Rattus norvegicus: one gene and its partners. The protein of the gene in region 1 binds, or shares a complex with, the protein of each later gene. Links are inferred from orthologs where the notes say so. Each region holds a gene or a part of one and is shown on either strand. Other genes may lie near its edges.

The links. The genes of interacting proteins can lie anywhere in the genome.
Region 2: Prpf3 (region 1) and Prpf31 share a complex: the UniProt entries of both Homo sapiens proteins name them as parts of the U4/U6-U5 tri-snRNP complex. The link is inferred for Rattus norvegicus from reciprocal best matches to the Homo sapiens genes PRPF3 and PRPF31.
Region 3: Prpf3 (region 1) and Prpf4 share a complex: the UniProt entries of both Homo sapiens proteins name them as parts of the precatalytic spliceosome. The link is inferred for Rattus norvegicus from reciprocal best matches to the Homo sapiens genes PRPF3 and PRPF4.

What each region holds. Positions count from the first base shown.
Region 1 is NC_086020.1:186,081,838-186,087,084, forward strand, and holds part of Prpf3 (U4/U6 small nuclear ribonucleoprotein Prp3), read right to left. Parts: intron 3,439-5,247; coding exon 3,292-3,438; intron 2,213-3,291; coding exon 2,129-2,212; intron 1,969-2,128; coding exon 1,748-1,968; intron 1-1,747. UniProt on the Homo sapiens protein: Plays a role in pre-mRNA splicing as component of the U4/U6-U5 tri-snRNP complex that is involved in spliceosome assembly, and as component of the precatalytic spliceosome (spliceosome B complex).
Region 2 is NC_086019.1:74,495,853-74,501,099, forward strand, and holds part of Prpf31 (U4/U6 small nuclear ribonucleoprotein Prp31), read right to left. Parts: intron 4,357-5,247; coding exon 4,273-4,356; intron 3,696-4,272; coding exon 3,598-3,695; intron 2,923-3,597; coding exon 2,816-2,922; intron 2,555-2,815; coding exon 2,385-2,554; intron 1,023-2,384; coding exon 865-1,022; intron 531-864; coding exon 441-530; intron 1-440. UniProt on the Homo sapiens protein: Involved in pre-mRNA splicing as component of the spliceosome. Required for the assembly of the U4/U5/U6 tri-snRNP complex, one of the building blocks of the spliceosome.
Region 3 is NC_086023.1:80,886,546-80,890,505, reverse strand, and holds the end of Prpf4 (U4/U6 small nuclear ribonucleoprotein Prp4), read right to left. Parts: intron 3,211-3,960; coding exon 3,088-3,210; intron 2,973-3,087; coding exon 2,865-2,972; intron 2,787-2,864; coding exon 2,668-2,786; intron 2,220-2,667; coding exon 2,026-2,219; 3' UTR 1,071-2,025; downstream 1-1,070. UniProt on the Homo sapiens protein: Plays a role in pre-mRNA splicing as component of the U4/U6-U5 tri-snRNP complex that is involved in spliceosome assembly, and as component of the precatalytic spliceosome (spliceosome B complex).

The sequences.
Region 1 (5,247 bases):
AGCTCCGGAAAAAAAAAAAAAAAAAAAAAAAAAAAAAAAAATCAGAGTAGGGGGACTGAGAAGAGATGGCTCAGTTGAGAAAAGGACCTGGGTTTGATTTTCAACCCCAGTTGGGCCTTACGGTTGCCTGTAACTTGAGTTCTAGGGAATTCTAGGCCTCTTTCTGACCTCTGAAGATACCATCTACCCAGGAGCTACAAAGATATCTATGCAGGCAAAATATTCATATGCATAAAATAAATCTTGAAACAAAACAGCAAAAAATGTAAATTAGTTCTGTTTTTTAGCTAAGAGTTAATATAAAATAAAACATCAAACCATGATGAGGATATATCTCAGTATTTGAGAATTTGTACAGCACATTCAAGTTCATGGGCTCCCACAAAAAATACATCAAACCAAGTATTTGGAAACAGGGTATAATCAAATGAAATTAATTCTAAAATCATATTGAGAAAAATTTGTTCTTTTTTCCCCCTGGTTTTTCGAGATAGGGTTTGTGTAGCCCTAGCTATCCTGGAATATAGCCCAGACTGGCCTCAAACTCTGACTTCCCTGCCTCTGCCTCCTAAATACTGAAATTAAAGACATGTGCTCTTGCCACCACCTGGTCATTATCTAATCTTGTTTTATTCCCAAATTCTTCTCCTTTTTCAAAATTTATTTTCAGGTCCTCCAGAACCAGACTTAAAGATAGCCAACCTGTGAGTACGGAGAACCAAACCTTGGTCCTCTGGAATAGCAGCAAGTACTCTGAACTACTAGCCACCTTTCCACCAAACCCTCACCTGCCCTTTTTTGTTCTTATTTCACCTGCATTGGTGTTTTGTCTGCATGTAAGTCTGTGTAAGTGCATTGGGTCCTACAGAACTGGAGTCACAAACAATTGTGAGCCACCATGTGGACACTAGGAATTGAACCTGAATCCTTTGGAAGAAGAACCAGTGGTTTAACCATTGAGCCATCTTCTAGGTTATTCCCCTTCACCCCCATCCCTTTTGTGGTGGTTCAAGGGACTGAGAGCCCAAGGCCTCCTGCATACTAGCCAGACGTTCTACTACTGGGATGCATGGGAAACAACTCTATCATTTGCACCCAAGTTCTTAGTCTTGGGATGCTAGACCAATCACAAAGGAGACAGGGTCTTGCTACGAAGTTCTGGCTGGCCTAGGACTTGTTATGTAGACTAGTCTAAATTCGTATTTACCTCACTATTCTTGCTTCTCCCTCCTGAGTTAGAGTTGCAGACATATAGAGTCTCAACCAATATTGTTTAGTGGCTGAAGCTCTTAAGTAATAAGTCCAGAAATCTGATTCTATTCTTACCTCTGTTATTAAGTGAAAACATTATTTTATTTCTACCAGTTATAAGCAGACAACAAAAGCCAAAAATAAATGCAACTGAATTTAGATCATATATTAAAAATATAAAACTGTAAGAAATTATTTAATGTTCTTTGAGAAAATAAGTCATTAACAGGCCGGAGAGGTGGCTTAGCGGTTAAGAGCACTGACTGCTCTTCCAAAGGACCTGAGTTCAATTCCCAGCAACCACATGATGGCTCACAACCATCCATAAAGGGATCCGATGCCCTCTTCTGGTGTGTCTGAAGACAGTTACAGTGTGCTCACATATATAAAATAAATAAATCTTAGAAAAAAAGACAGAAACATGTAAGTAAATTACCTTTAATTAACTACTCCAAAAATGTTAGAAGTGACAAGGGACTGTGTGAAGGATACTCACGGTGGAGCTATGCCCATGGCATGGAGATTAGCTAGGCCCACCATGTTGGCATTGCCAATAAGCCCTGGCTTCAAAGCCAGCTGGGCCTGGATTCGGGCTTGTAGTTCAGCGGCTTTCCTTGCCTTCTCAATGGCATCATTCATAAAGGTAGCGGCCTGGGAGGGCTGAATAGTGTTGCCAATTGGAAGTCGCTCTGGTTGGGAAGAAGAAGGTGTCTTTGGCTATAAGACAGAGATTAAAAGAAATCCAAGAGTTTGAAACAGGCATAACACAGATACACACATAGACACCGTGGCAGATTATGGCAGACAGCTGGAGCACTTGCTGGACCCTCGAGTGGACGAATGACAACAGACTATGTGCTAACCCGTCTTTCAGTACCTGAGGTGCAGGGGGGCTGATGAAGCTCAGCTGCTTTTTCCTTTCCTCGATTTGTCTCGTTGCTGCCTCCATCATCTGTTTGATCTGCTCTCCAGAGGGAAAAGGTTGAAAAGATTAATTTCCCCCATACATGGTCCTAAATGAAAAGGCATTCAGTTCCAGAGACCCAAAATTTTGTGAATGTCTCCACAATAAATATATTATCTATACCACAGACAAGAAGATATACACTTAAGCACCAGAATTTTCTGATCGTTCCCCACCCCCAAGTTAGGACTGGTATATTAGGTAGCATACACTACAGTGACTGAGACTCAGACAGTATAAGGCTAGAACTGCGCCACACTTTCTGCCTGTATTTCTTTGGATAAGGCATTAATACCTTAACTTCTCACAAATCTAAAAGGGGGGAAAGCAGTGCATGCGTGCTTCCTAACAAGCTACTATGTTAAAAGCAGGCAGGGAGACTATAGAAATGGTTCAGAGCTAAAGCACCAACCACTCTTGTACAGGCCCTGAGTTCAGGTCCTAGCATCCACGAGGTGGCTCACAACCATCTCTAACCAGTCCTAGGGTATCTGACACGTAACTCCCACAGGTTCCTGTGTGCACATAAACATTCACAGTATGTTTAAAAATCATGGTTATGAGCCACGCATGACAGCACACGCCTTTAATCTCAGCACTTGGAAAGCAAGAGCAGGCAGATCTCTGTGTCTGAGGCCAGCCTGATCTTATACATTGTGAATCGCAGGCCAGCCAGGGCTAAATAGCAAGACCTTGTCTTTAAAAATGTTAATAATCACATTATCGGACCCTGAATTCCTACTGTAGGTGTGCATGGGCAATGGTGCAGGCTCTTTAGAGATGTCTCCATGAACCCTGGTTATGTCCTAACAAAATCAGAAAGAAGCTCTGAAGTCAAGCTAAGTGCTGTCATTTCATTTTCTTTTTCCGATGATGATGTATCATACCAGGTGCTCAATAAATCCAATTTCAATAATTCTTAGCTGGGTTACTTCTGATCAAACCAAAGACTGCTAAAATATAAAGGAAAAAATAAAACTCCCCCAAGTAGTTAACACAAACTCAAATCACGATCACTGTGGGCCTGAACCCATGTGCTTCAACTCACAAAAATCCCTTTGCTTCTTTTAACTGACCTGGAGCTTCGTTAGCATGCCAGGGCTTTCTGACGGAGGTCCAGGGATCACCTCTGGTTCCTCTTCTACCTCCTCAAAACGGGGTATTCGCCGCTTCTTTACCCCTGATGATTCCTTTGAGATCTCAGAGTCATCACCAAACACCTCCTAAAGGAACCCAAAATGAAAGAATTGTATCCCTCCCTAGGGGAAAAAGGAAGAACCATCCCAACCCCTACCAGCATCCTGTGGTTTCCCCAGGGAAATACGACAATCTTTCAAAAACTACTTGCAAGAAGCAGGGTCTTCTAGATATTCCACCAAGTGGACCATTCACCCAACTTCATCATTCTCCTTCCTGATTCAAGCAAATTTCATTCCCATGTTCTGATAAATGTTCCCATGTCAAGATCTTTACCAGTGCTACTGCCTATGTTTGTAATGCTCTTCTTCCTTTCCCACAAATCCTGTCTAAAACTCACCTCCTCCAGGAAGTTCTCCTCATTATCTATCTCACCCCACTCTGATCCAACTGTTCTTTCACACCGTCTCAGCACTCCGAGCTCGGCTCATGTTAGATCACATTATACTCTGACACTGTTTGCCAAGTGTTAGGTATTACTTTCTCCCAAGTAAAAGCTAAGTTCTTCCAGAAAAGAGATTTGTTCTTTTTTAGTATTCCCCAATAACATTTTCTTCTTATCATACAATGGGAACTCAAATATGTTGACTAATTTGCAAAATGAATTTAATAGGACCAAGAGTGGCCAACTGGAAGGGACAATGGGAAAAAGCAAATGTACACACCGGTGGTAGGCTTTGGGTGACATCCCCTCTTCACTAGGAGGGCTCGTGTTTTGCAAGGACATATCCTCAGCCAGGGGCGAGCGCTTCCTGGAACTCCTACAGTTCAAGAAAAAGGACTCTCCCATAATATATTGTGTGGAGTGGGGACTTGAATGGACCAAAAATGGGACCCATATCCCATGCTATCTAGATCTCTCCCTCAAGAAACCATTGTACTATCCCACCCAATGTAGTAAATTCATTCACAGCATGAGCTTGTCATTTACTGCAGCAGTACTGCTGTAACATAATCTTCCCTGAGTTAATCTGTATGGTAGGTGGTCTAATCATCTCCTCAAGTTCAACACAAGTCTGAAATTCCATAATCAATTGTAAATGTAGACAAAACTGCCACTCACATTTTGTAACGTGTGTCTGATTTATTGCAACTCCGCACTCCTAAACAGCAGACTGATTTAAGTCAAGGACTAAGTCTCCTTTCTCTGATCACCCTATAATGTTCAAAAAAACAAAAGGGATAGGAGTTTCTATTTTCCTGGTCATATGGCATGGGTATAGACCCAAGCGGACACTGCTTATTTTTCTGTGTGTACCTCAGGAAAAGCAAGTGATGTGCAAGGTATCAAAGGCTAGGGCTGGGCATGATGGTGGAGCATGCTCAGAATCTTGGCACTCAGGAGGCTGGGCCACAAGAACCTGAGCTTGAGGACAGTCTGGGCTGGGTAGCAAAATCCAAGACAAGGGCTGGAGAGATGATTTAGAGGTTAAGAGTGAGCACTGTCGGGGTTGGGGATTTAGCTCAGTGGTAGAGCGCTTGCCTAGCAAGCACAAGGCCCTGGGTTCGGTCCCCAGCTCCGAAAAAAAAGAAAAAAGAAAAAAGGAAAAAAAAAAAAAAAAAAAGAGTGAGCACTGTCTTGTCAAGAGTTTGTTCCCGTAGTGGCTCACAGTTACTTACAACTCAAACCCAAGGGGATCTGACACCCTCTTCTGATCTTTAGGGGCACTTGTGTGGATACATAGAAATAAAAATTTAAAAATGAGTCTTTAAGAAAAATCCATAAGCAAAAGAAAACTTGCTAAAGACAGACAACCTGATCATGGTGGTACACATATGTAATCCTAGCACTCGGGCACATCACAGTTCTAGAACGGCCTGAGCTAGCTATATAG
Region 2 (5,247 bases), on another chromosome or scaffold:
TGGGCCTGTTTGTTTTTTAACAGGAGTACTAGGAATTGAACAAGTCTTCAACGCTTGCATGCAGGAACTTAAGTTATGGAGTCACATCTCTGGCTCTGTGCTTTTTCCTTTTTCAAAGACAAGATCTTACTATGCAGCCCAGTCTAGCCTGAAATTTATTATATAACCCAGACTGCCGAAAACTAGTGACCTTTCTGCCTCTGCCTCCCAAGTACTGATGTTAAAGATATGAGCTAGCAGGTCTACCAAACTTTTATATGTAGTTACTCCATCTACAGTGAGTTGTCATAGCTGTTCTATAACTGATAGACAGAGCTGAGAATGTGATGACCTTAGTTGGGGTTGAGACACACACTGCCGTCTGCTAGTCTGGACAGCTCTCTGAAGTAGCATCTTCCTATGAAAAGACCCCAAGCACAAGGAAAAGATCTTCTCCTCACCTTCCCCTCTGTGCTCTCATGGAAACTGTCCACACGAGCTGCCAGTGTACATTTGGCAGCCACTAGGCGGGCTGCCTTCCGCCGAAGATCCTAGAGCAATGGGAAGGGGAAAGGAAACTGAACCTCTAGCAAAGGTAACAGCCACTACAATAATCACTTCTCATCTAGGGCCAGCCATACCCCAGACTCTGGGAGGTAGGCCTTATGCCTGTGCGCTTTCCTAATAACTGCCTCTTGAGGGGTATGCTCTAGCTGCCCCTGGTTTCCAGCCACCCAACCATCCTCATTGCCAAGTGGCAGACCCAGAATAGTATCCTTGCTCTTCCAACCATGTTGCCTCATCCTCCAGGAGCCTGAGGGCTATTGCCAGCCAAGCCAGATAAGGCCTAGTGGCTGGGGCTAGGGGTCAAGGTGAAGTACTCACTGGGGGCAGAGACTGCACAATGTCACTGTGGTAGATGTAGCCAGTGTGAGGCAGCACTGAGGTAGAAGAGAAGCCAGACAGTGTCTTGCGCTGGGCTCCCAACAGCATGATGTTGCAGGCAGGCATCTTAGACAGGTTGGTCAGCCCTCCAGCCACACCTGCAAAAAGAGGTGAGGTCAGAACACAGGGTTTACATCCAGGAACTCATGTATACCTTTGTGGATTAAGTAAGAATGTCCCTCATAGGCTCATACAGTCACCACAAAGTAAAACTCATTGATAGATTAGAAGGTTCAGAAGGCATGGCCTTGTTGAAACAAGTGTGTCACTGGGGGTGGGCTTTGAGGTTTCAAAAGTCCACGCCAGGTCCAATGTCTCTCTCTCTCTGCTTGTGGTTCATCTATATCTCCAGCACTATGCCTGCCTGCTGCTGTGCTCCCTGCCATGATAATAACGGCTTAAGATTCTAAAAGTGTAAGTAAGCCCCCAGCTGTGTCTTCACAGCAAGAGAACAGTGACTAAGACAACTTTGCACCTTCATTTGTTGGCTGGTTTGATATCAAGTATTTCACTCAGTAGCCAAGGCTGGCCTCAAATTCAAAGCAACCCTCCTGCCTCAGCCTTCCAAATAACAGTTACTAGTATAAGTCACTGTATCCAGCAGGACATGGGATCTTTTCTGGTGGGGAGGGGGATTTTATTTTTATTATTTTATATGTATAAGTAGGGTGTGTGCATGGAGATCAGAAACTTATGGGACTTAGCTCTCCCCTCTTGTATGTGGGTTTGGGGGAATCACCACACTCAGGTTCTCAGGTTGTCAAGCCTGGGCAGCAAATTCTTTTACCAGCTGAGTCATCTTTCTAGCTCAGGACACAGAATCTTTAAGGAAATGACTAAGGTAAAATGAGGTCATATGGATCCTGACTCTATCTGACTGGCATTCTTGTAAGAAAAGGAGATAAGGATACAGATACAAGTGGTGTGGCTACACAGCCAAGCAGAGGCCTCTGGAGAAGTCTCACAGCAACTTGGTCTCAGACTTGCCAGCTCTGAAACAGTAGCCTCAGGAGTATATGCATCTTGGCCTGTGGGACTCAAGCCTGAAGCTCAGTGAGCAAAGATGGTAAGTTTTCCCATATTCCCTTTGCAAGCATCTCTCTGCAAGGAAGGAAAGGACTCTGCTACAGGAGCTTCCAGGAGAAAGAGCATAGCACATGGCAGGGTTTGCTGCCCTATCCAGTAGGAAAGCTTGAGCTGACATCAGTACTCTGTGGCTGCTCCAGGGTCTAAAATGGGCCTATTGGCAGGAAGAAGTTGGCTTGCCATCTGTGCAACCTGATTCAGCCAGCCAGCTAAACCTAGAAGGGAGTTGCTATGCTTCTATCGTGTGTACATACCAAGCTGGCTGATCTCAGTCTTCAGGGGACAATACAATCGCGCTAAGGCCAAACCCCACTTCCCCAAGGCAACCTAACCTATCAGCAGCCTCAGCCAAAGGGACCTAGCTGGGACCTCACCCATGATCTTGGCAGCCGTGGAAGCTCCAATGATGATGGACAAGTTGGGTGCAATGAACGACATCCGGGACTCCACGTACTCATAGATGCGGTGCTTGGAGGCATTCAGCTCCAGTGCCATGTCACAGGCCTCCTCTAGTCGCTCTAGTTCCTCATCTGACAGCTGCTGCCTGCATTGTGGGGCAGGTAAGGGTTGGGAACAGACCCCAGTTTTGCTAGGTACAGTTCTAACTAGTGTTCAGTCCCACCCACCCTCTCAGCTGTGTATGCAAGTGTGTTTGTGTAGCTCTAGGACTATCTAAAATTCCATCCGCCTAGGGGTCATAATTCTCAGTCAGCACCACCTTGACCATGACCCCCATTCTGCCTCTCTCTCTTTTGTTAATTGTCCTATTGTAGGCTTGCTGCACCTTACCATATGGCATACATACCCCTGGGTGGTAGAGGCAGTAACACTAACAACCATGATGGTAGCATTGGTCAGGATCTGCTGGAGATTCTCATTGTTCTTACACTTATCCAGGCTGTTGCCCAGTTCCTGGGGTAGGAAGGGGAAAAAGAAATTCTAGGAACACTAACACAGGTCTCCCCTTGAGGAAGTTGGAAAAGCTAAGGTCCATATACTGGAGACTTCTCGTGCCTTTTACAGTTTTACAACATCCCTGCCTAAAGCATCAGTGCTGCCTACTCTGCTCTGCTGATGCAGAAGTAGAACCTAGGCAGAGCAGCCTCCAAGGAAGACATGTGCACTAAAGAGGCCTTCAAAAGTGCACTTTCTTCCACAGACAAGACTTCTTCTGCCACCATCCTGATCTCTTGGGCAGAGACAGGACCCCTGCTCTTTCACCTCCACCTGCTCCCATCACTTCTAGAGAAGCCAACACCTTCTACGTCTAATGTTCTCTGACCTTTCTAAGCTTCCCTCCCTGCCCCTTCTGACTTCATCCTTACTTGTTCCCACTCAGGGTCTTAGCTCTTATTCAGCTGTGGCCTCTGCCAGATCAAAGGACTCCTGCTCCAACTGCAGCTAGAAGTAAGGGCCAGGTCAGTGGTTATCCTCCCACAAAACCAAGGGGAGGAGGGAAGCAAGGGATGTGTATGACACATCCATTCCAGTATCTGTCTCTCACCACTGAGCCCCGTTATTTCTAGACTTGAGGCTTCCTGGTCTAGTGGCCTCAGTTCTTCCCAAGCCAGACTCCTCTCCACTCACCTTGACTGTGCGGATGTAATCCAGAGCGTTGGGCACCAAGGATTCTAGCTCAGGGAATCTCTTTGAGTATTTATCCCGGATGAACTTATGGATAATGTCTAAATGGGACATGGAGGGTAGGTGTCCACTGAGGGGGAGGCAGACTCTGCTGCTATCCCCAACACCCACTTCCACCACTTTAGTAACCAACCCCAAATCATGTGTGGGGACATGGATGCCAGCATGAAATATATATTTCCTAGCTGTCCCCAATGCTATGTGGAGGGGGAAGTTTGTTCTACAAAGGTCTACAAAATATGAACCAAAGTGACATTTTTCAACTTCCAGATCATGGCCATAAGGAAACAACCATGCCCTATCTTCCCTCCACATTTTCTGGTAAGGATATGGAGGTGAGCGATCATCCTAGAGCATGAACAGGTGCAGAGCCTGGCTGCTGAAGGGGGTCAAAGGATGATTCGACTTGCTTTCCTTATTCAGACTTTTATGGAGGAGGAGAATGCAATTTCTCTTTATGTAAGTTAGTCTGTTATAGAAGACAAACCTAATCAGGAGTATTTTTGCCCAAGAAAGACAAACAAAAGAGGGCCAGGTTCATGCCTGTTCTTCCCTTTGGGTCATAAAGAGTGAAGAGCACAGGATAAGGGTGTCTCCATGGTTCTTCCCATCACTCACTCAGCTCGTTTTCTATCTCCACAGTCAGGTTGTTGGCATCCACAATGACTCGGTACTCAGGGGCTGCCTCCACCGGTCCCATCACTACAAAAAAAGAAGGGGTGTGCATGGAGGAGGGGCAAAGCCAGGGACTGGGGCTACGGTTGGATGGAATCAGAAAGCAGGGGCTGAGAGGCTACATAAGGGGTTGAAGCATTCACTAGGGCTTGTAATCCTCCCCCAGGAACCTTATTCCTGCCCCTCATCTTTCTCCTACAGTCTACCCTCGTCTTGACCTCATCCTCTCTAAAACTAAACCTTCCTATAGCTCTCCGAAGCCCTGAGGCTAGAGAGCAAGATCTTCAGACTCGCACTCAAGGTCTCCCATACAGATGGTGGTCCATGTTCCCGACACCTGCAGCCTTGGTGCACACAGCTCAGGAGTCCCTTCAGTGAGATCCACTGACTCATCAGCTCTACAGCATTACTCTTTCTGCTTTCCTGCTTCATCCTCTCAACTATCAGGCACCCAAGGCTATTTCACTCCTCCTGGCCTTCAGGTGTACGGTTCCATCTCTCTGGAACATTCCTTCCTTAAGTCTGTTTCTAGAAACCACTTCATGCATAGGCAATTATATTGGGATTGAGTAATGTGGCCTCAAATGTCCCTTTAGGTCATTAAAACTCATAGGACAGTAAAGACACACACACACACACACACACACACACACACACACACACACACACACTTTTAGAAGGCTGACTATCTCTACATCTACATGAATTGGGCCACCTCTGCTAGAAATGCTTTGTGTCCACTAGATAAGACACCTGACACGGGCAGGCCTGATTAATCAGACCTGCCATCAGGAAATTCACTTTCTGTGACTTACTTTGGCTTTATGGAACAAGAAGCTTCTCAGCTTCCTACTTGGAATGCCTGTAGAAGCTATTATCTTTCTGAGACTCCCAGCACTCAATGACTTGGGACAGCCC
Region 3 (3,960 bases), on another chromosome or scaffold:
CCTGCCATTCAGAATCCACTATTTTCTTAAAGCGGTTGAAGAAATGGATTATTTCCCGACACTTGCTCTGCTTAAGGCAACTCAAATGCTCTCTTGGATCAACCAAAAATTAAGTTCCTAGTGAGGGTTAGACCAGAGAAACCAAAACCCGGGTGGTGTGCCAGACCCTGAATGCAGAATACTATGCCAGTCTCATTCTACCAACACAAGAAGTCAAGAAGGTACGTTTGTAGTAGAGTAGGATAAGGGTGGTTAAGTGCCAAATGAAGGGTGGGCCTGAGTGGCCTAATGGCTACATAGGGAATATACTTGGCTATAGCTGGATTCGGATGTTTACCTGGGTGTGCTGAGCATACTCTTGACTTGGGAAGCAGAAGCAGACAGATCTCTGAGTTTGAGGCTAGCCCACAGCAAGTTCTAGAACAGCCAAGACTAACCCTGTTTTGAATACCCATCCCCCAAATGTTTTGTTATACACCACATATCGATGATCTCCAGAAGAGCAGGGCAGAACAGGAAACTGATGGGAGTTTCGAATACTGGAGAAGAGCTAATTTTACACGATACACAACCTTCTTTGAAATTACTGCTGTGCGGTTTACTGTGCAGTTCTGGAGTGTAGGGGCTGTGTACCTGCAGTGAGGTGCACACACCACTGACAGATGAGGAAGAGCTATGAAGCCCAGACACCTGGTAACGTACTCTCTAGGCCACTCTATATAAAAAGCTGTGAATGCCTAGATGTGATTGCTTATGCCTGCAATAACAACCTGAGATGCAGAGGCAGGAGGATTAAAGTCTCAGGCCAATCTGGGCTACGTAACAGAACCCTGTCTCACAAAAACCCACACCCCTCTCCCCAAACCCACTACAAAGTTCTGAATAGAGTAATAGGAATTGGAACAACTCACAGGCCTAGAATTACACTAGATCTCAAAACTAAAGACAGGGATCTCTTTGGACCAATGGCTAGGCTCACAAAATGCTGAAATAGAAAATAATGCTTGGAGGTTTTATAGTAAGAGTTTACTCTCAGCAAGTGTGTATGTGTGTGTATACACAAAAGAGTTTATGTTTGGGAACACCCAAACATAAATTAGAATTTTTTCCAGTTACTTTGACATGAAGTGTTCTTTAATACATAAAGTACACCCATTAAATAACCAACAGGAAGGAGGTTGTACAACACAGACATCATGTTTGTTTTAAAAAACTCCTTTGAATCTGGATACAATGGCCAGACTGTTTTATCACGAAGGATGCCAAACTTCAAAGCCAAAAGGAAGAGCTCTCACAAGGCCCAGTGTGCAGTTCTGAGTTCCTGATGCAGTGAACATCCTCTGTGGATGCCACCAAAGAGGGACAGCTTTACAGTGGAGCCATCGCACAGACGCAGTCTATGGCTCCAGTCCCATTCTTGGGAGCAGGAAAGGAGCTGCTGCCAGGCACATGCCCTCGGAACTGGGGAGATTTCATACAGTTCAGCCATCTTGCTTGCTGAATCACACGTAGTCCCAAGCACACGCCGTGTTCTAGAGAGCCAAGTTCAAGCATAAAATACACAACTGCCAGGCACAACAGCACATTTCTGTAACACCATCACTTGAACGGCAGGGGCAGGGGGATCACTTACAATGTGAAGCTTCCAGACACATATACCAAGTTCCAGGACAGTCAGGGCTATACATAGACTGTCTCAAAATGCCAAATAAAAAAACAATTAAAAATGAAAGAATAGTCACAATCCTGAGTGCTGAGGGAGGCCATTCAAATGTGTTGAAGTTTTGCAGACACCTACATAATGTCTATAGTTTACGGCAGAACCTGAGATGAGAACTGCGTTCTAACCACGAAGGGCTTGCTATCGCCTAAGGACTGGCTTACTCAGAAGTGGGGCTGGCGTGAAAATCCAATCCTACACACGGTATTTGGCAGGAAACATGATAGAACACAACACAATTCTTTTCCTCTGAGGAAGATGGCTCCTTAGTGAGACACAAGGTCAGAGTCCTCCCATGGTCTTGCCTACTCTGCCATCCAGAGCTTGAAGGTTCTGTCATATGAGCAAGTGGCTATGAGCTGCCCATCAGAAGAAATGTCTAGGCCCATCACTTTGCCCTCATGCCCAGCCAGAGTCTTCAGTGGGGACCAGCCTGGGTGGGTCCAGATCTTGGCTGTGTTGTCATAGGCACCCGTGAGCAAGAAGTCCCCATGGATAGCTGCAGGAGACATAAAGCAAATGTGAGGAACTCCAGGGTTCAGAAACAGCCTAGGAAAAAGACAACGATCTTCCAGACAGACCGACCACATGCATTCTACATTCCTAGGGGGGCCTCCAAGATGAGGGACAGTCATGAGGAGACTGAGGACAACCAAGTAACAGATGAAGGCTGTGTGGCTGCTCTTCCCCTGGTGGACAGTTTGTTCAGTACCATCAAGCATCTAGTTAGTGCCTGACCACCCATGGAGCACAAAATGAAACAGAGCCTTCGCAGAACTCCCTGCCTCAAGTGCGCTCTGCACAGTGCTGTCTAAAGGTGTGGCAGAGGGAAGGACACTGAAATTTGCTTCTTTAACAATGCTCCATGTCCATGTCTACTGCCCAGGATGTATTTCATGAAGCAAAGGGTGTCTGATATTAAGGCTGAGAACAAGAGAAAAGCTTACGCTCAAACTTGACACCAGTCACTAAGTTCTGATGGGCGGGGATGGTGTAGACACAGCGTCGCTGTCGAAGATCCCACACCTTGCAGGTGTTGTCACCACTGCCAGTGGCAATGTGGTAGCTGTGGATCAGATGCATCAGTTAGAAACATAGAGTGCTGTCTGACCTGGACCCTTCCCACTCACTGAGTCTGCTTTACCCATTGGGGGAGAAACTTATCCCGTAGATCTCCTTCAGATGGCCTTCTAGGAACATAATGCAGCGTCCTGTGCGTAGGTCCCAAACTCGGCCAAAGGCATCCAGTCCCCTGAGGAGACAACATTTGTGTGAACATATGGAATACAGTGTGACAAGAAAGCGGGGTTGCCTAAGAGGTGAGACTACTAAGCTGCCCTTCCCTTGCTTTGTGGAGGAAATCTTACCCAGTGCCAGCCAAAGAGCCATCTTGATGGAAGGCAATGTCATACACACCCATGCTGTGGCCTTCCTGGTGTAGAATCTCCTCTTGAGCCTCTAAATCCCATAAGCGCCATGAACGGTCATAACTTAAAAATAAATAAGAATAAATTTTCCAACTTACCAAAATTATACCAACGATAAATCAGCAGATTAAGTGTCTATGACAAGGGGTTGGGGATTTAGCTCAGTGGTAGAGTGCTTGCCTGGCAAATGCAAGGCCCTGGGTTCGGTCCCCAGCTCCGAAAAAAAAGAAAAAGAAAAAAAAAAGTGTCTATGACAAGGAACTATAGATAACCATAGCTTAGCTCGCCGCTGGTCAACCATACTACCAAGAGCTGCCAGGCTGGAGGGGGACGGCTGAGGACAAAAGCAGACTGCTCTTCCAAAGGTCCTGAGCATGATTTCCAGCAACCACATAGTGGCTCACAACCATCTATAATAAAATCTGGTGCCCTCTTCTGGTGTGCAGGCATATATGCACATAGAACACTACTAAATAAATCTAAAGGCGGGGCAATTGTATCCTAAAAAAAGGAAAGAAAGGAAGTAAGGAAGGAAGGGGAAGAGAAGGGAAGGAAAAGGAAGGAAGGAAGGAGAGAGAGAGGAAGGAAGGAAAGAAGGAAGGAAGGAAGGAAGGAAGGTAGGTAGGTCTTTCTGACATGAGCAATGCCTCACCGTCCAAGAGTCTGTTTTAGTTGACAGTTGGGAGACCATGAACATTCTGTACTTTAGTGGGTATTCTTTAAAAAACAAATTCCCTGGATTGGGGTTGGAGCTCAATAGTAGGGAGGTCTTGCCTGGTATGTGCAGGGCCCTGGGTTCGGCCACGAGCACAA